Linked DNA regions of Mus musculus. The main gene of each other region encodes a partner of the protein of the gene in region 5 in a complex. Links are inferred from orthologs where the notes say so. Each region holds a gene or a part of one and is shown on either strand. Other genes may lie near its edges. The genes, in order: Aim2, Ripk1, Ripk3, Mefv, Casp8 and Zbp1.

Region 1 (3,500 bases), about 110 Mb from region 5:
TTAAACTGTGCGTTTAAAACTTTTACAAAGAAAAAATCTGTCTCCGTGGCCACTGTTGCATGAAATATCTCTTGTCTTCCTTCCTGAGTCTCACACTCAAAGGGATTTATAGCTTTCAGCACCGTGACAACAAGTGGATCTTTCTGTAAATCTTCTCTGATGGCTTCCTGTTCTGCCACCATCTGTTTCTTCTGAGGCTGTGACAAGAGAGAAAAGATGTTAGCTAGGGTCCACACTTACCCAAGCAGCCTTCATTCACAGTAAAACCCCAGGAAGAAAGAAGCTGAATTGAAGGGAAAATGGAGATAACGTTAGGAAGAGATTGGAGACCTAAAATTATCTAAGGGATATTTTGTGTTCTATGTTCAGACGGGGCAGTTTTACTGACTCTGGAGACAAAATTCCTGAATCAGAATCCTTCTTTGCTATGAAAAGTGTGTGTCAGAATCCTGAAACACTGCAAGGGGCTGAATCTGACTCTGTCTTCTTGTAATTCTACTACAGCATATTTTCCCCTCCAACTCTGAGCATGTAATTGACTCTTGCATCAGAGTGAGGAAGCTCAGTGATGTGCGCAGAGCTCCTGCACATTCCCAGGAATATTCCTGTGCATAATAGAAATGCAGATCATTCAATGTGAGGAAAGGAAGAGATCTCGGGATGAGATCCTACAGATGAATTAAAAGGAGATTAAAAATTAGAGTCAACTCTACCTTGGTAAGATTACTCTTAGAAGAATGAATTATTCTTGGAATGAATAAATTCTCATCTTGCCATTTTGTTCTTCCAGATTAAGAAATTAAGAGCAATAGGAGATAGTGTGTCTGTGTACAGGAATGTGCATGTATGTGTGTTTGCCCACGCATGTGTATGTTTTAGAAGCATATATATTAAGGCTTACATAAATTACATCTTATTATTTATAGTTATAAATCATCAAAATCTTTTAAATACCAAAAAATGGATTTTGTCAAATAAGGTCTTATAATACAACATATAAAAATTAAATGTTTTATAGGAATAATATAACAAACTATTTTAATTGATTTAACAAAGGATAAAGTATAATGCATTCCTTATTGGATAAATGCACAAATAACCCACATAACCTGGGATTAGTTTTTTGTTTAGTTTTGTTTTGTTTATTTTGTTCTTCCAAATTAAGAAATTAAAAATAATAAGAGACTGTTCATGTGCGCATTTCTGTATGTGACTGTGTGTTTGTTCATGCATGTGTATGTATCAGAAACAATACTATTTTAAAAGCAATTAACAATCCATAACTAAAGGAGACCCTGAGAGAAAGAGAGAGGCACAGAGCACATGCTTTGAACTGGATCTCTGCAAAACCTTGGGATGTGAGCCTGTGAGCTGATTTGATGAACGGCATCCCACTCTCAATTTGATCCAAAGCAGGAAAGTATCAAGTTCACTGAGAACTATTTTAGAATTTGTCTTCAGTCCTAGGCATTTTACTGGATTTTTCAGAGACTATACAATATGCATTTTTATGGGTGCTTACCAAAATGTAACATTTAAACTTGGGTATTGTTTTCTTCACAATTCTGGACATTTCTGAGCCAAACACAGAAGAAATGAGTGGGTGCTCTGGATAGAATGGTGTGCACAGCCTAAGCTTCTCTATGAAGTTTCATGACACTTTCTTTACAGAAAATGAAATTGCAGATGCTTGGTGGATTTTGTGATGGATCCCTATATGCTGCTCTGTCAGGACTAAGGGACAAGGACTCTCTTCCAGTTTTATCCCCTCTGCTACAAAGAGTCATTTCATGACAATAAGAGCAGGCACATCGTGACTAAAGGGACTGTGTTTTCCAACTACGTTGCAACAATCCTGAAGGGCATCCCTGGACCCTAAGTCTCCTGTGGAACAGGTCAAATTCTTTGCTGCAGTTCCATTGAACTAGAAACTTTCCCCATCCCCTCATCCTAAACCTCCTCACAAGAACTGATGCTGAGAGCAACCTGAAACATACTCACTGAAAAAGGTCCCTGTCAGAGTTTTCGTCAAAGAGAGGTTAACATAGCAACAGGTTATCATGTCCAGAGCATGGCAGAAATTAGAAGCTTCCTGGGCATGGACGCTGATGAATAGAAGTGATTTTTCTTTTTGTAATGCAGACATATCTCTCCTATCGTAGCCCGGTTTTCCTGATTTGTATGCTCAGAGATAAAGAACAGAAGGCTTCGAGTGCTGGAGGAGAGGGATAGTGATAAGAGTGTCACTAGCCACCTTAGCTTGAGGACAGACTTCTGTAGCAGCCTGTTCCTTAAAGTCATTGTCACTGCGGGTGGCAGAGGCAGCAGAGCAGTTTTCAGCTTGACTTCTATTTTCTACCTTCTGTGTTCCTCTCTTCTTTGTATTGGTCATGAGTTTACGTTCAGCTGAAGGAGAAAAAAAAAGGAGGAGGGTGAGAAGAAGAAAAGGAGAAGGTGAAGGGGAAGGGGAAGAAACAAGTAACAGATACATTAAAATCTATGAGTAAGCATGGCTGAGAATTAGAATTCTCGTTAGAATTCTAATGTTAATTAAAATATCATTAAAATATCGTTAATTTTTAAGAAGAAAATTAGAAGGGAGACAACAGCAGGGTGATAGATTAGGAGTTTCCCATCTTCAGGTCCTCACAAGAACATGACACAGGACTATGCACAGACAAGGCACCTTGGGGAAATCTCAGAAGGTAACAGAGGTGCCATCTAGAACATTAAGGCTGAGAAAAGTTCCTCTAGAGGTAGAGAGGAATGTTTTCATTTTAACTGTTTTCTCCTTCCCAAAATGGGAAAGTACCATGTAGAGAGAAGCCCACAGCCCTACACCTCCTAAGGTGAGGATTAAGGACAAGGAGTGTGCATGTGGCACTCCGGTAGTATGCAGGCATTGTAGAAGGCTCACTCTCATCTCATCCCACCCCATGAGAACTGTTGAGTACATTGGCAAGACTAGAATAATGGAAGTCAGTTAGAAATAAACAAAATAAAATGGGTCTTCCTGTGACTGATATGTGGTCTGCCTTGTGGAGTCACCCAATCAAAGAGAACATCCAATAGCATCTTTGCTAGCTTTGAATCATAGCCAACTTTCCACTTGTCTTACTACACTGTAAAAGGCATACACATACGCACATGTGTGGAGCACAGAATCCGAATCTGCCTGAACTCCACTGTGGAATGCTGACCCCACCCAACCTGAGAGCAATGTATCAGGCTTCCTGAAGATTATAGGTAATTTCATGCACACAGATGTCTTTGAAAGGAATCATCTGACCTAACCCAGCCACAGCCTATTGAGAAAATCACCCTACTCAGCCCCAGTGTTTGAAAAAAAATAAAAAGGCTTCTTGTTAAAGGCAATTGTGTCCGATATTTCTTTGGAGTAGAGGACCTGGTCTCCTCAAGCCTGGTGACCAAGAAGTGATGGGACTGGGATGAGTTTTGAGCTTAGCCTGTGGTTCAGCATGAGCCCAAACTGGGGGGAA
Region 2 (3,500 bases), on a different chromosome or scaffold from region 5:
TTGCTGATGTCTCTTAAACCTTAGTCTCTGACTATGATCAAGATATTCACAGACCTGTTAGACCCAGCAGATACACACACCCCACATAGATACCACATACATATAGACACACATACACAGAGAGAGAGAGGGGGAGAGAGAGAGAGAGAGAGAGAGAGTGCCTGAAATATATTAGGTACTCAGGAGACCTTTGTTGAATTAGTCATCCCAGTTTAGAATAAACTCATGGGGTAAGTAGACTACTTTATAGTATAGCTTAGCTTGGGAGTTGCTATAAAACTCCACTATTCTTCTAGAGTAGGAACTTACTACCAGGCATACACCCCATACCTTGATTCTATTTGTGAATGAGCCTTTTTCATTATCTACTGTGGACAGTTCAGTCAGCTGGGAATGGAAAGGTAACTAAATCATTGTTTGTACAGGGGAAAAGTCATCCTTCGGTTTGGTTAAGTGTGGAAAGGAAGGACTACTTTCTGTGACTTCTTCGTGATTACTAACCCCAGTAGATCAGGGATCACCATCTCTTTGCTGATATCTCTTAAACCTTAGTCTCTGACCATGACCAAGATATCGACAGACCTGTTAGACCCAGCATTTATACCACAAGCACCTCCAAAGTAGCATCCCCCAAACAAGTTGCCAAGTTTATGAGCACAGTACAGGTTGCTTACCACCTGCACTGAGTGGCACAATAAGCAACTTTAACTGTTCTCATCATGATTGTTTTTACCAGAACCCATCATTCTTACTTCTAGAGTATTAGTTAGCATGTATATTTCAAGTCACTCTCCTTAAACTGAGCTTCTTAAAGCTCAGACCATCCTGTATTTGCCTCTGTATTGAACTCGGGAGAATGCCATGACTTTACCCGTTTGTTTGTTCTGTGAAAAGGTAGCTTTGTTTTGAATTTTGTTTCTCTTCTGCAAAATCAAAACATCATCCTACCATTTCTGTAGTAGTCTGCATCAATTCCTTGCCACAAGACTGTTACTTTATGGAATGAGACAGCCATGGAAAAATCATATCCTAGATAGAGAGACAAAAGAGCAGTATTATCCAGGTCCTGGCATCTTCCTGCTTGAGAGTAAAGTGTAACTGAAAGCCCCAACTGAAGTTCACCCCTCTTTGCAGATGTCATCTGTACTGAGCAGTTCGTGATCTGCATAAAATCTGGGAACAGGCCAAATGTAGAGGAAATCCTTGAGTACTGTCCAAGGGAGATCATCAGCCTCATGGAGCGGTGCTGGCAGGCGATCCCAGAAGACAGGCCAACATTTCTTGGTAAGAATGGGTTGCGTGCCTATTTAGGATGCATCTAACATAGTGACTCTCTTCAGTAAGGTGACACTGGTAATTTAGTTACTTTTCCTATTGCTATGACAAAATAGACGACAAAGCAACTCAAAGAAAAGGTTTATTTTGGCTCAGTTTAAGGGTAAAGTCTACCATGGCAGGACGCCACAGTAGCTACAATACAAGGCAGTTGCCCACATTGCATCTAGAGCCAGGAAGGAGACAGACATAGATGCTGGCAGTCATTTGCTCTCTTGTATTCAGTGCAAGGTCTCAGCCCATGGGATAATGCTGCGCACATTCAGGGTGAGCTTTCCCTGCTTCACACCCCCACAGGCACACCCAGAACTGTGTTCCCTAGTGTCACCCAGAAGTGCGACCGTAAATCCAATCAAGTTGGTAAGGAAAATCAGCCATCACAGTTAGAAACATATGTTGAATACCACATCACATGTAGCTTCAAACTGACTAGATAGATATCAAGCACCTTGTCAATGAAAAGGTCCTACCCGTCCCCAAAGCATGGGCTTCTTCATTTCCTCCTTTAGTTTCGGGGGATTAGCACTGTTATTGTTTTGGGTTTTGTTTTGTTTTGTTGTTTTGTTTTGTTCTTTTCGAGACAGGGTTTCTCTGTGTAGCCTTGGCTGTCCTGGAACTCACTCTGTAGACCAGGCTGGCCTTGAACTCAGAAATCCGCCTGCCTCTGCCTCCCGAGTGCTGGGATTAAAGGTGTGCACTACCCGGCTACTGTTACTGTTTTGAAGCACATATAATGCTTTCCATTTTAGCTCTTGTAAGTATACTGTCCAGTGGTGTGAAATCCATTCTGCTTTTTCAACATTTACCACAATTTATTTCCAAGTTTCCTCAGCCAGAGCACAGCTCTGTACTCGGGAAGCATTAGCTCTGCGTCCCCTTTCCTCTCTTCTCTTCCCAGCCTTAGCAGTCACCATTCTGTTGACTTTGACTTCCCCAAGTGTCTCATGTAAGCCAAAATTGCACAATACTTCTGTTTTGTATCTGTCTTGTTTTACAGACTAAGTCTTTAAGGTTCATCCATGTGGTAGTATGTGTCCGAATTTCCTTTTTATTGCAGAATAAGATTCTACTCTATAGATAGTTTTTGTGTGAGTGTTCATCTGTTGATAAACACTTGCCCTAACCATTTCTAGCTTCTTTCACTTATTTGCCTCCCTAGTTAACATTCTTATTAGTATCCTTAGGAATGAATTCTGCCATTTAGGTTAGCCCTGTAGTTGAGGAAATTGAAGGAGACATGAGCGTTTGGCCCGTTCTGCACCCATCCTATCCCCTAGATTACCTAGGAGTATGAAGTAGGCCAAAGGAGAAGAGCAGAGATACAATAGGAGGCATTCAGGAATGTACAAAGCATCATGTTGTTGTATTTATGTGAGAAAAGAGAACTGGAGTGCCACCCATTCCCACTGTATAGACCAAGCTGACCTCAAATTTACAGAAATCCCCTGCCTCTGCCATCTGGTTGCTGTGATTAAAGGTATGCCACCATGCATAGCTAAAGCCCCATCTGTTACAAGTCCCACAACTCCTGACCGTGTTGCTGGCTGAGGACCAGGTCATACACTGAAGGTTGTTCAAAATTCAAACTGTAGCATTTTCTTGTAGGTTCTTAAACTTGTTCTAGAGTTTTAGTTTGATTCATCTGTGGTGTTTTTTTCTTGCATGGTTTTCAAGGACATTCTAGGCATGATATTATCCATATGTTATTTGATCATATGGTTTAATTTTCCAGTTTGCCATTTTATCACCCTGAGTTAAGTATGTAAACCTTTCCTTTCTCCTTATGCATTTCTCATTTATACATGTGGAATGCATCAGACTATGTTGCAGCTTTCCTTCAGTCTTCATAAACTCTAAAAGAAAGTTTTTTGCTTTTATTTACCCATTGTTTTGATTGTCATGCGTCATTTTTCCGATGCTACATATATTTACACTTCTAACACTATGCAGGCTATCATGACATTCCACATTTAAGAGCTTAGTCTCATGTGACTATCACCACATGGTACCCACTTAGGATGCCTAGGCTTCTGCCCAGCTGACTATGAGTTTGGGTGTATATTCCCCATCTCAGGCTTAGAATAGACTCATCTGGCTCAAAAAATATTGCACTTAAATATAACTCAATGTTATAAAACATTAAATTCAGAAACAACCAGATAGAA
Region 3 (4,021 bases), on a different chromosome or scaffold from region 5:
CAGTAAAGACTGGCCCAGGTGTTGTGCCTCTGAAGGGTAAAGTATGTGGAATCTGAGGAGTGCCAGCCACGGGGTCAGAAGATGTCCTTGCTGGTGTGGCAGGCCCAACTGATGTGTCCTGTGCTTGCCTCTCAGGACATTTTCCAGGAACTGGTCCGGAGGGTTCCTCCAAATGCAGGCGGTCCAGCATTTTAGAAACCATGGTTTCCCTCGGGCAATCCATTTCTGTGCCTCTTTGGCTTGGCTCTCTGGCAGACAAGTTTCTGCCGCTGCTTCTGTGCTGAGACAGATAATGCTTTACCTGTGCAGACAGGGGGACCTTGTTGTCAGGAGCTGGGGCAGCCAAAGTAAACCCCAGTGAAAATTTTCTTGGTCTCTGGAGACTAAGGAGTAGGTTCTGGTGAATGGGAATGACAACCAAGGATTAAATAATGGTGGCCAGTGAAGATAAACTGAATGGTTAAGGGAGCCACTTGTGCCATCTCCCAACAGTTCCTGGATGGGAAGGCAGTGCTAGAAACTCACCTCGGAGACAGCAGCATCTACCTTGTCCTTTACCAGATTGTAAACTTCATTGGTTTTTGGTTCGCAGTCTGAAAGACAACAGCGAGTTGTATATGAGTCGGATTTCTTTCCTTGGAGGAGCTCCCTGCTGAAGACCCAAGCCTACCCTAGTTGCCAGAGATACGGCCAACTCACCCTGGAAGGATGGCCTGTTTTCGGACTGGGAACCCCAGCAATGAATCATTAACTCCTTCAGTTTTTCCAAGCCGGGAGTCTCAGGGCTACCTGGAGGCAGCTCTGTCAGTGGAGGACGACTCTGCCTGTCACACACTGTTTCCCGGATTAGTGAAGTCTTGTCTACCACTGGAGTTGGGGGATAACATAAGGAATTCATGAAATGAGGGGACAGCCCATTCTATCGCGGACAGGAGCAGGGAGAGTCATCCAAGTGAGAGGTGAGGTGGGAAGAGGGCAGTGTGTTAGTGGGTCAGGGTAAAAGGGAGGGCTCCAGGGGGGTTTAGGTGCTTTCGGGTACTCCATTTGGAGTCTTACACTCAGCTTCTCTGCCAGCCAGCACTGCCCACACGAGGATCCCAAAGCTGTACAGACACAAATGGAGGCTTAGATGGCCTCTGGCGAGACTTCTTTCCTGTATCATTCCCTTTAGAAGGGCCCAAATTGGTATAGAGATTTGGAGTGTGTTTGGGGTGGATGGTTTACCTGTAGACATCACTCGCTTTAGAAGCCTTCAGGTTGACATCAAATAACAGCTCTGGGTCCAAGTACGCTAGGGTGCCCCCAGAGTCCCTGGATCCTGATCCTGATCCTGACCCTGACTGGGACCCTCCCTGAAACGTGGACAGGCCAAAATCTGCTAGCTGTAAAGGAAAGGAAAGGGAAGGTATTAGATGAAGGGGGGGGTCAGAGATTTTTCCCTCTCTTGCTCCCCAGAAGATGCAGCAGCCTCAGCTTTTTGGAAGGTGTTATGGAGGACCAGAGGGAAGGTAAAGTCATTGAGAACTTAGCAGGAGATCTGAGTTGCTGATGGGCAGGCCTGAGATAAGTCAGCCTGGGTCCGTGAGGGTGCATTAGGCCTGTGGAACTGAGCCAGGGGGTTAAGAAGGGCGTCTGGTAAGGAGGGTCACCTGGTATGACTAGAAATAAAACTCCTAGTTGGGTCTTGTCATGTGTGTAGTCTTGTATTCAGAGGGACAGGTACTCAACATGGTCCCAAGTCTACACTAGGTTGTAGATGGACTAACCTTGGCGTGGAGCTCTGGATCCAGCAGAATGTTAGAGGGCTTGAGGTCCCGGTGCAGGAGCGGAGGGTTCAAGCTGTGTAGGTAGCACATCCCCAGCACCACTTCCTGCAGCAGGCGACAGAGGAGTGGCCAGGGCCGAGGGCACTCGGGTTGCAGCAGCCCTGCGAGGGAGCCATTCTCCATGAATCTTGTCACCAGAGCCTGCCCGGACACGAAGTCCCACTGGAGGTCCTCAGTGACCCCCAGCAGGAGCAGAACGTTCTCATTACGAAGATTAACCATAGCCTTCACCTCCCAGGATATCTTCTTCCTACACGCCGAAAGGGGGCCAAAATTGGATTGCGCTCTGGAAGACCCCACCCTTGCCCCACTCAGGCTCGTGACCACACTCTGACTACAGCTGGGGTCACTCACGAGTTCACGATCTTGACTGCTACATCATGGTTCCATGTTCTGTGGTGTGCCCGGAACACGACTCCGAACCCTCCTTTACCCACAAACTCCAGCTTCTTCAGTTCTTCACGGCTCACCAGAGGAACCGCTGACGCACCAGTAGGCCTGAGAAAGGTTCTTGTCCGGTAGGGGGCCCATCCCCCAGCCTAGCGCATCCTCTGTCTCCCAAGCTCCGGGATTCCGTGACTGCGCGTGGGCAGCGTAGGCAGCGAGTCTAGCCTCCCCACTGCTGCCCGCCTCACCCCCAGCTTTGTCCCCTGCCTCAGAAAAGGCGTCCTTTGAGTGTGTCCCCGGGCCACCTGTGTGGGTGTGCCGGAGACACAGCTCACTCCCCACTCACCATAACTTGACAGAAGACATCGTCGGGAGCTAGCGGCTTCCTGGAGTTATGTGTGCACAGACGGAGCTGGAAACCCGACGTCTACGGCTCGGAGTGTGGACTGAGAGGAAGGCAGGGTCTGCAAAGGGAACAATCAGTAGGTCAAGGCACGGAGGTTCAGGCCCCGAATTCCGCTTCCCAGGTCGCTCCCCCGGACTTTGAATGAGCGACTTCACAACTTCCCTTTCAAATAAGAGGCTCCTTCTATCTCCGCCCCCTGGGGTGGAGCATTGAAAACTTTGGGGCTATTTCCTGTGCACGTGCCTTGAAACTGCTTCCACCCGAGAAGCGCCCAGGCACTGGGCGTGCCACAAAAGGTGTCCTCACCATCCAGGAACGATTGACTCCCCACGATAGCCAGTCTCTCTTGGACCCCTTAGCTCCACCGCTTGCCAACCACATTTTGATGAAGGGAGGATGGAGATCAGGAGGATTTTATGGTCCTAAGATCACGGAGTAACGCTTCTAGTAAGGGTTGTCTTGGGCCAGGTACACATACTGGCTTCTTAGATCAACCGTGTTTTCTTTTCTATAGAGGAGGAAACCCAAGTACTTAAAGTTTAAATCGCTTGGCCAAGTAAGTATGGGACTAGTTTAGAACCGAGTTCTGCTCCACCAAGGTAGCCCTTATTTTATTTATTTATTTATTTATTTATTTACTTACTTACTTACTTACTTACTTACTTACTTACTTTTGAGACAGGGTCTCTTTTTGGAGCCCTGGTTGATCTGGGACTCGAGTATACAGACCAGGTTGACTCAAACTCACAGAGAGCCATCTGCATCTGCCTCCTGACTAAATGCTGGGATTAAAGGTGTACGCCACCATGCTTGGCTTTCTTATTTATCTTAAAATTTATTTATGTGTGTGCATGACCATGCATGTGGTGAAGGGGTGCATGTCATGGTGTGTGTGTGTGTGTGTGTGTGTGTGTGTGTGTGTAGGTGTTCGACCTTGTTTGAGATAGGGTCAGTTTGTTCTCTGCTGTGTGCATAATGCTATGTGTTAGCCTGTTAATGTCCCAGTATTCTCCTGTCTCTCATCTTGCTGTAGGAACACTGGCATGGTATACATGGGCTACTGTCCCCAATGTCACTTTAGTTGTGGGAATATGAGTTCAGGTCCTCATGCTTGCATGACAAGAATTTTGCCTACTAAGCGGCACACACACACACACACACACACACACACACACACTCCAGCTCAAGTTAGCTTATTCTTCTTGACAATGCCTCTGGGCTATATAAATCTACCTGTGGTGCAGGTAAGGTATGAGGCACGCAGTATGCACTAAAGGACCTCTTGGAATCCCTGCTCAGCAAGAGCAGCTACTAAGTAGGGGTTGTGGAGCTGGAAGGCCCAGGGTCTATGCCAGGGTGTTGTAATGAGGATAGGTGTGCTGGCCCTGCAATCGAGCCACTG
Region 4 (4,068 bases), on a different chromosome or scaffold from region 5:
TTTTAGCTGGTTTTTCACATAGTGACAAAGGCACTTCTGGATCAGAGAGTATGCTGCCAGCCGTCTCTCCCGAGGACTCTGTGGTTTCTGGACTCCCATTTCCATTTTCCGTCCATGATGTAGGGCATCTCTCCTCCCCAATCAACGATGTTTTGGAAGACATGTTTCTGAATGTTTTTTCATCCAGCACCATGGAATGCTCTGGAATCCCTGTGCCCTTTTCTAAAGCCCCCGTAGTCCTTCCATTCAGAGTAGCTGTTCTCATGCGAATGAGACTCCCATTTCTTGTTTCCTCTTGAGTTGGAAGAACTTCTGAATTTGGGGGTTCTCCTTCTCTTGAATAAGTGGTAATTTCAAGACTCCTGGGTCGCTTCTTTCCTGAAGGCAAATATACATACACTTCGGCTTTCTTGCTTTCTCTCCTCCCTGGGGCATTGTTGTAAAGTCCTTGAAGCCTCCCTGCAGAGCTGACATTCCTGCGGAGCTGGGCACTTGCTGTGCTCTCCTTATCCCCTGGGGACTGGGTGCCCTGGGTTCTCCTATAGAGAGGCGCTGTGCTCCTTGTCCATGGCTTGGTCTGTGAGTCCAGGCTCTCGGGGCCCCTCTGATCCTTCCTTTTGGTCAGTGACTTCTTCTGGGGTCCCTTCCCCACTTCAGCCTGGCTGGATGGAAGGGTGTCTGATTCATCATTGTTTTGCTGTGTCCCATCACCTTCAGGGACATCTGGTACCTTCACACTCTTGGCTTTATTCTCTACAGAAGACTGGACAGAACCACCAACTCTATTTTCTTCAATTAAATGTTCTAGAAAGACAATAAGATACAGTCATGAAGCTGTGCTATATTCAAGGCTGGGGTTGGAGGAAGGGAGAAACTCCTTAGAAGTTAATAAAAGCAAAGAACTGAACATTCTAGACAACAGATGTCCATTACACAGAACCATAAAATACATAGTAAATAAAAACTGGGTTACTGTTATAGATGCATGCATGACTGTACCTGTGACATTTGACTTATAAAGCAAAGCAAATAGGAAGGGATGAAAGCAACCAGCTCAGTAAGTAAAGGCACTTGCCAACAAGCTCAGCCTCCAGAACCACAGAGGAACGAATCAATTCCTTCAAGTTGTCCTCTGACCTTTATGCCAGAGCACACTAACACTCACTTACATATGCAGACAGACACAAAATACATAAGCAAAGTAAAATTAAAATAGGAGCCTGGAGAGACAGAGAGGTGGCTCAGCAGTTCAAAGCATTGGGGTGCTCTTCTACAGCCCCCAGATTCAGTTCCCAGAATCCACACAGTAGCTCACAACCATCTGTAACTCCAAATCCAGGGAATCTGATTCCCTCTTCTGGCTTTTGTGGACATCAAGATTGCAAGTGGTACACACACATATCCAGACAAAACACCCACACACATAAATTTAATTTAAAAAGGAACATATAGAAATGAATCATTTTCAATCATGGCACAAACTGAAGAAAACCTCAAGTCATAAATGTAAACGTAGATGGTGTTTGAAAACAAGTTGAGGGAACTGGAGAGATGGAGCACTGACTGCTCTTCCAGAGGTGCTGAGTTCAATTCTCAGCAACCACATGGTTGGTGACCCACAACCATCTGTAATGAGATCTGATGCCGTCTTCTGGTGTGTCTGAAGAGAGCAATGCTGTACTCATATACATAAAATAAATAAATAAATCTTTAAATGAATTAATTAATTTTTAAAAAGAAAGGAAACTCGTTGGAACAGGTATGGTGGTGTAGTTTCTAACCTCAGACACAGAGGCAGGAGCATCTCTAGAGTTTGAAGCAAGTGTAGTCTATATAGTGAGGCCCTGTCTAGAAATCAAAGCCAAAAAAATAACAAAAACAAAAACAGCAAGCAAACTTGCCTGCAATTTCAGGATATTGACAGATAAGGTTTAATTTCAAAGTCTACATAATGAAGATAACCCATGATTAACAACTTAGGTTTTCATTTGAAGAAACCTTTCATTAAAAGCAAAGAATGTTTAAATACCCTTGTAAAGTATCCCAAGGAAGAACTCCAATTGAAATTGGGTGGTTAATGAGATTCTCAGACATGTGAGTATGGTTGAATTTCAAGCCTTTTCTGCTAACCTGATGATAGTCTGGGCTTGCTTATTACTTGAAAACATGGAGTAAAGACTTCTCTAGGTTTTGCTCCATTCATGATCCACCTGTCCTGAGTCTCACCCACAGCTGAAATATCAGTTTTTATTATTAATGTCTTGGGGGGTGGGGGGGGAGCCTGGGAGCTTCACTAAACAGGTTACAAGGGCCAGAGAGAAGGATGAGGCATGCTAGATTCACACTACTCGGACTGAAGTGGACAGGGGCTTTCTAACCCTTAGCTAGTGTCTGAGCATTCCTCTCATCCACCACCAGTAGCTAGCATCCATCCCCACTGGGAAGAGGCTTGGCAACTTACCTGTGCCTGTGGCTTTGCGAAGCTCCTCTGCTAGTTGGCGCTGGTTGGTGGCCCGCAGGATCTGCAGGGTCAGCCTTACAGCATACTCCTCCCCGTAGTAGGTTATCAGAAGGCTGGCCAGCTTTACTGGCCTGGCCATCTGCATATGGCCCCGGGGGATCTTAGAGTGGCCCTTCTCCAGGCTGGTGTTCTGTAGCTTAAACTTGAACTTCTCAAAGTCATAGGGCAGCAGCTCCTCCAGGGTGTTTAGCAGATGATCACCAAGGGTCTTGGCCATGGTGCGGGCCAGGAGGGACTGCAGCCAGCTATGTGGCTTCTGGCAAACGATAATGACCTCTCTCGTGCAACTTGAGAACAAGCAAGAAATAGCTTGTGAAATAACGGACAAGGCGCAGGAAGCACATCAGCTTTGGTGGGAACTGAGAGTAAAAATGAGGGCGTGTCCAGGGTCTAGCCTGCTGCATACTTTCTTTGAGGATTCAGAGTCTTTTCCAGTGGGGAGGTCTCCACCTTGCCAGCCTATGTCCTGATTAAACAACAGGCAGGCCAGACTCTAAGGGTAGCTCTGGGATTGACAGCCAGACCTTCCAGCTGCTCCTGAGCTCTTGCTTGCTCTCAGGACCCTAGGCTGTGGAAGAGGGAGATGATCTTACGTGGAGTTGGTCCCCTCTGGCCAACTGCTCTCTTTGGACTCTTGAGGTTTATAGACCTCCAGGGCCAATGGCAGGGGAAGGAACAAACAGCAAATAATCCCTATAGGCTTTGCCTGGGCCTTCTCAAGAAAGCAGAAGCCAGAAAGGTACTGCAATGCATGTCCAGTCTGTCTGGTCCATGTCTAGTCTATCCAGCAACGTAAAGTGTTCACACGGGACCTGCGGACCACCTTTGTTGCCAGCATTCTCATGCATCTATTCCCACAGCCAACTTGGCCCTGGCTTCCTAGGTCCACTAACTGCTTCTGGGTTAAATTTTCTGTGGCCTCCTTTACTTTTGTCTTAACCATTGGAGAATAAATAAAAAGCATTATTATCTATCATTCTAAATACCCTAGATATCTGTGAAGGCTGACATTGATTGTCAATCTGACATGCTTGGGAAGAGGGAACCTCAATTGAAAAAATGCCTCCATCAGAATGGCCTGTAGGCATGTATGTGGGGCTTTTTCCTGATTGATATCCAATAGAGGAGTGCCAAGCCCACTGGGGGTGATACCATCCTAAGCAGGTGACTTTGGCATGTACAATAAATGTGACTGAATCCAGGTGGTGCTGGAGGCACACACCTTTACAACCAGCACTTGAGAGACAGAGGCAGGTGGATTTCTGTGAGTTGGAGGGCAGCCTGGTCCACAAAGTGAGTTTCAGAACAGCAAAAGAGAGAGAGAGAGAGAGAGAGAGAGAGAGAGAGAGAGAGAGAGAGAGAGAGAGAGAGAGAGAGAGAGAATGTGAGCCTAAGAGCAAGCCAATCACTGCTCCTCCAGCATTTCTGCCTCAAGCTCTTGCTTTATTTCCTGTCTTGGCTTCCTTTGACCATGCATTGTAACCTGGAAGATGAAACAAACCCTTTCCTTCCCAAATTGCTTTTGGTATGGATCACGACAACAGAAA
Region 5 (3,978 bases):
TCCTAGTTCGATAGTTTCTACTTACAGCTAAAACAGAACAAAACAAAACAAAACAAACAAACAAACAAACAAAAAAACAAAAAAAACCAACCAACCAACCAACCAAACAAACAAACAAACAAAAAATAAGCCTAAAGTCAAAATCAGGGCTTTCCTACAGCAAACTCCCCAAAGAGGCAAACCCTGGGTCCTTCATTGTGTGAGCAAACCTGTGTACAAACACATAAGCTCCTTGCTGGGAATTAGTTAAAATATTTTCTGGTGTTAAAGAGAAGAAAAAGAAAAGGACTTTGAAACTGTGTTTTCTGCTACCTAAAATAGAATGTAAACTTTCAGAGTAAAGAGCGCCAACTTCACAGCTGAGGGAACTGAATGAGGCGCCCAAAAGCATATGTCCACCCTCGATGTCTGGGCAAAGGTGACACCATCGTACCAGGACCTTTAGCTGGCATTTGATTCTGCCCAGGAACCTGGGCACCATGGAAGCAGCAAAATCAAATCCTGTCTGTGGCCCAGTCCACTCCAGGAGTTACTATAGTTTTCCCAGCATCCTCTATAACCTCTACCCCAGTTCTGGCTCACTGTTTTCTGAGAATTTCCTGTCAGAGACCACGAACTTCCTGTGAGTGCAGCAACTGAAGCTCTCATGGTAATACTTGAACCACATAACAACAGCCTGAAAATCATCAATGAGAAGATACTGTGTAAAGAGGCAATGAACCTCTGTACAGGGGCAATGGGGGTGTGGTCTTGCTGGAAAAAACACATGGAGCTCCCCTATAGGCACTAAGCCCATGAGAGCATAGGATGACACATCACATGGGTCAGTAAATCCGAGGAATGTCAAATAAAGCAAGAAGATGCCCACTTTCTTATTAGAATTTCTTTTAAGTTGGAAGATTAAAAAAAAAGAAAGAAAGAAAAGAAAAGAAAAAGAAAAAAGAGCAACCTGATAGGGTGAGGTGGTCAGGCTATGCAGGCTGCTGGAGAAATCATATTAGTTCCTGGAGTGAACCTACCCACAAACAGAAATTACTGGGCAAAATCAAATAACAGCTAAATGGCCTGCTATGGGGTCACCTTTCTCCCTCCTGGGAAAGAGACATGGGAGACACACAGCCATGACCAGCAACTCCTCTGTGTCCACATACGAGTTCTTGAGTCTTCTTTAAATAGGTTTGTAAGAAACGGGAGCACTAATCGTCCTCATGCTAATTCAATCAATGCCATATTTATTTAAAAAAAGAAAGATTTGTCGATGAGACAACTCAGGAGTTTAAGAGCACTCAATGCTCTTGCAGACCACCTGGGTTCAGTTTCCAGCACCCATATAATGGCTGAAACTGTCTGTAAATCCAGTTCAAGGAATCTGTGCCGCCACCCCCCCCCCCCCCGCCCAGTACCAGGTGCACATACATACATGCAGGCAAAATACTCATACTCATGAAATTAAAATAGAAATAAATAATTTTTTAAAGAATGAAACTGAGACCTAGCCAAGCAGAAGGCACTTAGAGGACTCCCTTTAAAAAGACAAAAAAGAAAAAGAAAAAAAAGAAAGAAAAAAGAAAAGAAAAGAAAAGAAAAGAAAAGAAAAGAAAGGAAGGAAGGAAGGAAAGAAAGAAAGAGAAAGAAAGAGAGAGAGAGAGAGAGAGAGAGAGAGAGAGAGAAAGAAAGAAAGAAAGAAAGAAAGAAAGAAAGAAAGAAAGAAAGAAAGAAAGAAAGAAAGAAAGAAGAAACAGAAATATGACTGTATGATAATTCCTTACAGGTACTTAACAAGCCAGTCACCCTTACAACTGCTTAGCACGTAGAGGAATTACCGGCCTCAGGTCACCTGTAGCCCCCTCCCTCCCTCCTCTCTCATCCCCTCTCTGTGGGGGTTGGGGTGAGGGGGTGGGGGGTTGGTGTTTTAAGTGCAGAGCTAGTGCCCTACGACCCCCCACCCCCTGTACTGCCAGCACTCAGGAGGTGGAAGCAAGGTCGTAAGTTCAAGAAGCCTGAGCTTCTGCAGGAAATCATGAAACCAAAGAGGGACAGAGGGAGGGAGGGAGAGAGGAAGAGGAGAGGGAGGGAGAGGAGAAGGCAAAGAGAAGAAGAGGGAGAGAAAAAGGGAGGGGAGATGTTGGAGGAGAAGGAGAAAGGAAGAGAGAATTTGGGATTAGAGTTGATGGACGTCTGAGTTGGGAAGAGCACGAAAATCGCCGGAGGAAACGCAGCTCAAGCTAGAGGACTCCCCGGAGGATTAACTCAGCTCCAGGTCCTGAGCCAAACTACAAAGAAAGTAAGCCTAAGAAGTCCAATAAAGTTTTCTGGAGAGGCGGCGACGGCACCCCGATGGCTGCATTTCGGGGAGCGCCACGCGAGATCGACACCCACCGGTGGGATCTCGGCCCGCTGGTGGGAAAGGAACCCGACTGCTCTGCAGCACTCACCTGTGGCCGAGTACCTGCCGCGCCGGTCACAACTCCAGCTCGGGCGAGGCCTCCGCTGGCTTGGGCTTTCCGAGCCTCCAGCCCGGGCCGGCGCTCCCCAGAACTGTACTCACTTCCTGTTCCACGCCGGCTCACAGAGGTTTGCTACCGATTCCGAGAAGCTGGACTTTTAAGCACCGAAGTCAGAATGAAAGACAACTGAGAGAACTAGGGCATAGGGGACAGAAATGCCTCCGAATGTTTAGAGGCGTTTGAGTTAATCATTAGAGGTGGCATCCTGGTGCCAGCCCTAGAGGCCATAGGCTGCTTCGCTTTCTGCCCGCCTTAAGAGCTCCCGCCAGTTCTGGAGGACACTTCCTTATTCCCCCAGTCCAACCACACCTCCTTTCACGCAGAAACCCTCTGCTCTAGAAATGTCAGCACTCTCGGAGGTAGGGACAGGAAGATTAGAACAAGCAAGTTCCAGGCTATCCCAGAGACAGTGGAACCAGAGCTAATGGAATGAACGAACGAACACACACACACACACACACACACACACACACACACACACACACAAAGTTTAAAGGAGCCAACTACAAGAAGAAAGTGATTTCACACTGAACCAAACAACCAGCTATGCTGAGGGCCTAGGTCAGATCCATCAGGATCGCTGATTGTTGGTTCAGTCTCTGTGAGTGCCTATGAGGCCAGGTTAGTTGATTCTGTGAGTTTTCTTGTGGTGCCCTTGAGCTCTGATTCCTACAATCCTTCCTCCCCATATCCTGTAGGATTCCCCAAGCTCTGCCTATTGTGTGGCTGTAGGCCTCTCTGATGGCGACTATGTTAGATTTCTGTCTACAAGTATGGCAGAATATGATTAGAAAACATTTCATGCTTTTTTTTTTTTTTTTTTTTTTTTTTGGTCATGTTCAGTTCTATCTTAGCTGTCTGGGGCATCCAGCCTCTTGTTCCTGACCTCCATGAATTCAGTGTCAGAGGTGGCCTCCCTCTTGTGGCACAAGTCTCAAGAGAGACTAGTAATTGGATGGAGACTCCCACAAGTTCTGTGCCATCTTTTCTCCAGCACATCCTGCAGGCAGGATAAATGGTAGGTCAGAGGTTTGGGGTCTGAGTTGGTGTCCCAGTCTCTCCACTGGAAGGCTTGCCTGGCTACAGCAGACAGCTCCAAACCCCTCATTACTAGGAGTCATAGCAAGGGTCACCCTGATAGGTTTCTAGCCCCCACATTCCAGTCTTCTCTGCCATACTCTCTCCCTCCATCCTCGCCCAACCTGATCCCTCTGCTCCCATCCCCACATGCCCCCAGTTCCAATCCCATGATACCTACTCTATTTCTCCCTCCTAGGGAGATGGCTCCTTGTTACTTAGCCTCTCTGGGTCTGTGGATTGTAGCATGATTATCTTGTAATTTATAGCTAATGTCTGCTTATAAGTGAGTACGTACCATGCTTGTCTTTCTGGGTCTGAGTTACCCCACTCAGGATAGGTTTTTGTTTTTGTTTTTGTTTTCTGGTTCCATCCATTTGCTGGCAAATTTCAT
Region 6 (4,211 bases), on a different chromosome or scaffold from region 5:
CCTGTGGAGCTTCAGCGGTCTGGAGAGGCCCATGGGGGTGCACTGAGCTGCAGACCAGGGCCCCCTGAAGTTGCACCTACATCTCTTTAGGGTCTTGAGTCTGGAAGAAGGATGTGTCCGTTGGAGATGGGAGACACCCTGCTCCACTAAACATGGGGAATGATTTCTCAGGGGAGCTGGGGGCAGCACATTAGGCTGGGACCCAGGACCTCCTGTCTGTTTGGGTCACAGATACTGTCTGCTGAAGGTTGAGGTCCCAAGGCTGCTTCCTTTCCTGTCTCTATCTGGAGCTGAATGAAGGCAAGGTGGCCCTGGGGACCGCATCAGCTCTTGGAACTCTGGGTCCTTTCTTCTTGATGGCTCTCAAAGTCACCTGAAGGCTCTGAGTGAATCCTTACCCATCAGCCCTCACTATCCGTGTAACTATTGCCTGCAGTGTGTCTTCACTACTGCTAATGTCTATTGCACACCTACTATGTATAAGCCCTAAGCTTCACATTTGGCTCCATTGGCCAGAAGAAATCAAGAGACAGAGAGGGAATGGCCAAGCTCAGATTTGAAGCCAAGCCTCGTGGCTCTTAATGTGCGTGTAGGGGGGAGGAGAGCTTAGTGTGTGTGGGGGGTCTGCTCTGCCTACATGACAGATTACCAAGGCTAGGCTGGGCACTGGAGTTCTCAGGGATTGCAGGAGCCCCATCTCCAGAAGCAGCCCCGCCTATGCTCCATGTTGCAGGCTCTGGGGAGGACACTCTGTCCTCCTTCTTCAGGCGGTAAAGGACTTGATTGAGGGTTTTCTTGGGCACTTGGCATTTCTTCACCAGCTGGCCAATCTTCACAGGGCCGCCGTCATCGCTCAACACCTGCAGGATCTTTTGCTCCAGATTGTCTGGGGAGGAACCCAGAGAAGAGCTGAGTTAAGCCTAGTCCCCAGAGCAGAGAAGGCACCTGTGACCTGGGCCAAGCAGACAGGAACGACGACACCACCCAGAGGCAAGGGTGTCAGTCAGGTGGCCCCTCACCCCACAACTAGATGTCTGGGTGGCCAAATGGTAAAATAGTATACAGCCTGCCCTGTGTACTATGTGGAACCCAAACAGGTAGGAACCCCCAACTCTCGGACGATGGAACAAAAGGGAGAGGCAGGAAACCAAGTCTAGCCCTGAAGTCCCTATTTGGTGTCTTGATGGCCTCTCAGCCTGGCCAGGAGTCCCTTTCTCTCCTGCTCAGCACCCACATCGAAGGCATGGGTGTTCCCAGCCCAGGAGCCCAGCAGATAAGAAAAATGGGTCTCTCCTCCCTTGCCTGATACAGCAGGAGTCCTGAAAACCCAGCTCAGCTCTTTAACCCAGCCTCAATGTCATCTTCCAGATGCCTGCCTGCCAACTCCAGAAGGCTTCCTCCCAGAGCCCTCCACCCCTGCTAGCTACCCAGCCTCCTCCTCCGTGTCTAACCCTGAGGATCCCCAAGTTCCACCTCATGTCCCTTCCAGCACGTCTGTCTGCTTATCCATGAGTCTGCCTCTACCTTTCTTTCTTTCCTCTTGTGACAAAGTCTAGCTCAGGCTAGCCTGGAACTCATAGCAATCCTCCTGCTTCAGCCACAGCCCCACCCCAGGGTGGGGCTGGGGGTGGGGGTGGAGGAGGAGGAGGGTGTTGGGGGAAGGATTATAGCACTGAGCATCTATTCCTGACTTGGCTTTGCCTTGCCTTGTAAAACCTTTGCTGGGGAGTGTGCCCTGTAGTGGCCTCTCCTTCATTCCTTTCTCCCACTGGCCCCTAGGGACACACAAGGCAGGCCAAGCCTTCTCCAAAGGGTGAACTTGAAGGACTGGTTGCAGGGTCTGAAAGTGGGACTTTGGAAAGCAGAAGGCTGCAGGTGACAGGCTGGAAAGGTTAGCAGTGAAAGGAAACCATGGGAACCAGGTGACCTTAGTTCTGGTCTTTGCTTGGCTCCTCCCTGATAGCTTTTGAGCAACCACTTCTAGTATGTTGAAATAAGAAATGATTTTCAGCTGGGCGTGGTGGCGCACGCCTTTAATCCCAGCTCTTGGAAGGCAGAGGCAGGCGGATTTCTGAGTTCGAGGCCAGTCTAGTCTACAGAGTGAGTTCCAAGACAGCCAGGGCTACACAGAAAAACCCTGTCTCGAAAAAACCAAACCAAACAAAAGCAAACAAACAAAAAACAAAAATGAAGTGCTTTTCAAAAGATGAAGAAGAAAAGCAGTGAACTAAATCCTGCCCACAGCATGGCAGCCTCACACAGCCCTGCACCCCGCAGCCTCCCATAGCCCAGAAGCCCCTAGACAGGGTATGTAGTCTCAGCAAGGGTTCAAATAGGGCAGGAGAAGAGCTTGAATGTAAAATCAAAGTCACATCTCCTTATCAAAGCAAAGTCCTCTCTTGAAATGACAGTTCGGAGCCCGAGGGCTGTCACAGGCCTTGGTGACCTCATCAATGAGGTAAGGTGACATGAAGGATCTGGGGCACAGGATCCTTGAAGCAAGCTGACTTCCCTGTGGTGACCTCAGAATCCTGTTGCTGTCTGGGCCAAGGAAAGAGCTAGGAGCCTTAGAAACATCAGCTGGGACCCACGCGAGGTGAAGGAAGAGGTTTAGCTTACCTCCTGTGCTCAAGTCAACAGGAGCTTCTGCCATGCTCACAGCAGCCTTGGGGCTCCTTTAGGGCAGGGGGTGGCAGTTTCTGGCACTGTGGTCAGGCCTGGGGCTCTGAATCCACAGGCAAGAATGGCTGCTTGGACCTGCAGGCACCAGCTGTTACCATCCCGGAAACAAATACCCATCTGGCTCCATCCCCTCCCCGCCCTCCAGCTTTTCAAAGAAAGAGAAAATGAAACTTTGGTGTGGTTCTCGGAAAGAAAGGGTGTCGAAATCGAAATTGAAATCGGGGTGGGTGAGCAAGCTGGAGTTGGATGACTGTGTGACAGAGAAGAGAGGAGTCTTGGCCTCTGGGGTGGAGACTGGTCTCCCACCGGGAGAGCTCTATCTGAAGAGAACTCTGTGAAAGCCCTGTGAGGAGGAAGATAGATCTAGGAAAAGGCACCTACTGTGCCTCCCCCACATGCCCACAGGCAGGTGTAGTACCATCTACTCACATACCTTCTAGAAAAAGAGCCCCTTTTCTCACTTTCATAAATTCTCAGTGACCCGTGAACAGCTCAGACACTTCTCTGTTCCATATTACGTAAGAGGGGATCGGGGCTCACAGAGATGGCCTTGTGTCCACCACTCAGCTCACAATAATCCCAGAATCTGGGTCCCGGCTACAGGGTGGAGGTGGGGTGAGTGCAGAGGCCATGATCTTGGGACCTCTGTACCTGTCTGGTGTGCAGGTCACTGGTGCACAGGGCAAGACAGCAGCAGTCGTTGGAGACTAGAAGGAGGTGATGTGCCTGGAGGATGTCTGCCAAGCAAGCAGGAGGTGGCAGGTCCCCAGTCAGCTTCACCTTACAGAACCTGAAAGGGTCACCAAGGGACCAAGACCAGGCCAGGTCTACACAGCTTAGGATGGGCCTGTGCATGGGAAAATATTAACATTTCCAAGTGATTTTTTTATGACTTCCAGGGAGGAAAAACAGTGCCTGCAGAGCCAGCCAAGGAAAACAGAAACCGCACTGCCTGTTGCCACCCAAAATAAATAAAGTCGCTTTTAAATGAACTCTCAGCTGGCCCCATTGAGGGACACTGCCCAGGTTCCCTAGAGGCGCCATTTGAAAACTGACCACTAGGTGGCGCATGCTCACCAACCGCCTCTTGCCCAGGGGGTCTTGCTTGGTCCCTAACCAAGGTGGCTCCAGACTTAGCAGGGCTTCAGGACATGCCCTCCTCACTCCTTTCTTCAGCATTTTCCTCTTCCCTTCCCTTCCCTTCCCTTCCCTTCCCTTCCCTTCCCTTCCCTTCCCTTCCCTTCCCTTCCCTTCCTTACATTAGCTGACCTGCCTGGAAGGAGTCAGAGCCTCCTAGGTCAGTGACTCTCAACCATCCTAACTCTGCACGTCGTTGTGATCCCCACCATAGAAATGATTTTCATCAACACTTTGTAACCATAATTTTGCTATTGTTATGAAACATAATGTAAAGATCTGTGCTTTCTAATGGTCTTAGGTAGCCCCTGTGAAAATGCCACTTGACTCCTCCAGAGTACTCTACACATAATAAAGAAATGTTAAAAAACAAAAGATTTATTTATTTATTT

What was found.
Region 1: Casp8 (region 5) and Aim2 share a complex: the UniProt entries of both Homo sapiens proteins name them as parts of the AIM2 PANoptosome complex. The link is inferred for Mus musculus from reciprocal best matches to the Homo sapiens genes CASP8 and AIM2.
Region 2: Casp8 (region 5) and Ripk1 share a complex: the UniProt entries of both Homo sapiens proteins name them as parts of the AIM2 PANoptosome complex. The link is inferred for Mus musculus from reciprocal best matches to the Homo sapiens genes CASP8 and RIPK1.
Region 3: Casp8 (region 5) and Ripk3 share a complex: the UniProt entries of both Homo sapiens proteins name them as parts of the AIM2 PANoptosome complex. The link is inferred for Mus musculus from reciprocal best matches to the Homo sapiens genes CASP8 and RIPK3.
Region 4: Casp8 (region 5) and Mefv share a complex: the UniProt entries of both Homo sapiens proteins name them as parts of the AIM2 PANoptosome complex. The link is inferred for Mus musculus from reciprocal best matches to the Homo sapiens genes CASP8 and MEFV.
Region 6: Casp8 (region 5) and Zbp1 share a complex: the UniProt entries of both Homo sapiens proteins name them as parts of the AIM2 PANoptosome complex. The link is inferred for Mus musculus from reciprocal best matches to the Homo sapiens genes CASP8 and ZBP1.

Annotation. Positions count from the first base shown.
Region 1 is NC_000067.6:173,458,604-173,462,103, reverse strand, and holds part of Aim2 (interferon-inducible protein AIM2), read right to left. Parts: intron 2,407-3,500; coding exon 2,255-2,406; exon of another isoform or gene 2,002-2,254; intron 198-2,001; coding exon 1-197. UniProt on the Homo sapiens protein: Sensor component of the AIM2 inflammasome, which mediates inflammasome activation in response to the presence of double-stranded DNA (dsDNA) in the cytosol, leading to subsequent pyroptosis.
Region 2 is NC_000079.6:34,015,863-34,019,362, forward strand, and holds part of Ripk1 (receptor-interacting serine/threonine-protein kinase 1), read left to right. Parts: intron 1-1,134; coding exon 1,135-1,284; intron 1,285-3,500. UniProt on the Homo sapiens protein: Serine-threonine kinase which is a key regulator of TNF-mediated apoptosis, necroptosis and inflammatory pathways.
Region 3 is NC_000080.6:55,786,058-55,790,078, forward strand, and holds the start of Ripk3 (receptor-interacting serine/threonine-protein kinase 3), read right to left. Parts: upstream 2,801-4,021; 5' UTR 2,580-2,800; coding exon 2,560-2,579; intron 2,406-2,559; exon of another isoform or gene 2,325-2,405; coding exon 2,181-2,324; intron 2,077-2,180; coding exon 1,767-2,076; intron 1,383-1,766; coding exon 1,225-1,382; intron 1,104-1,224; coding exon 1,057-1,103; intron 960-1,056; exon of another isoform or gene 868-959; coding exon 700-867; exon of another isoform or gene 594-699; coding exon 526-593; intron 302-525; coding exon 1-301. UniProt on the Homo sapiens protein: Serine/threonine-protein kinase that activates necroptosis and apoptosis, two parallel forms of cell death. Necroptosis, a programmed cell death process in response to death-inducing TNF-alpha family members, is triggered by RIPK3 following activation by ZBP1.
Region 4 is NC_000082.6:3,715,325-3,719,392, forward strand, and holds the start of Mefv (pyrin), read right to left. Parts: upstream 2,801-4,068; 5' UTR 2,739-2,800; coding exon 2,462-2,738; intron 805-2,461; coding exon 1-804. UniProt on the Homo sapiens protein: Involved in the regulation of innate immunity and the inflammatory response in response to IFNG/IFN-gamma.
Region 5 is NC_000067.6:58,794,196-58,798,173, reverse strand, and holds the start of Casp8 (caspase-8), read right to left. Parts: upstream 2,801-3,978; 5' UTR 2,436-2,800; intron 1-2,435. UniProt on the Homo sapiens protein: Thiol protease that plays a key role in programmed cell death by acting as a molecular switch for apoptosis, necroptosis and pyroptosis, and is required to prevent tissue damage during embryonic development and adulthood.
Region 6 is NC_000068.7:173,216,123-173,220,333, forward strand, and holds the start of Zbp1 (Z-DNA-binding protein 1), read right to left. Parts: upstream 2,801-4,211; 5' UTR 2,654-2,800; coding exon 2,620-2,653; intron 887-2,619; coding exon 650-886; intron 1-649.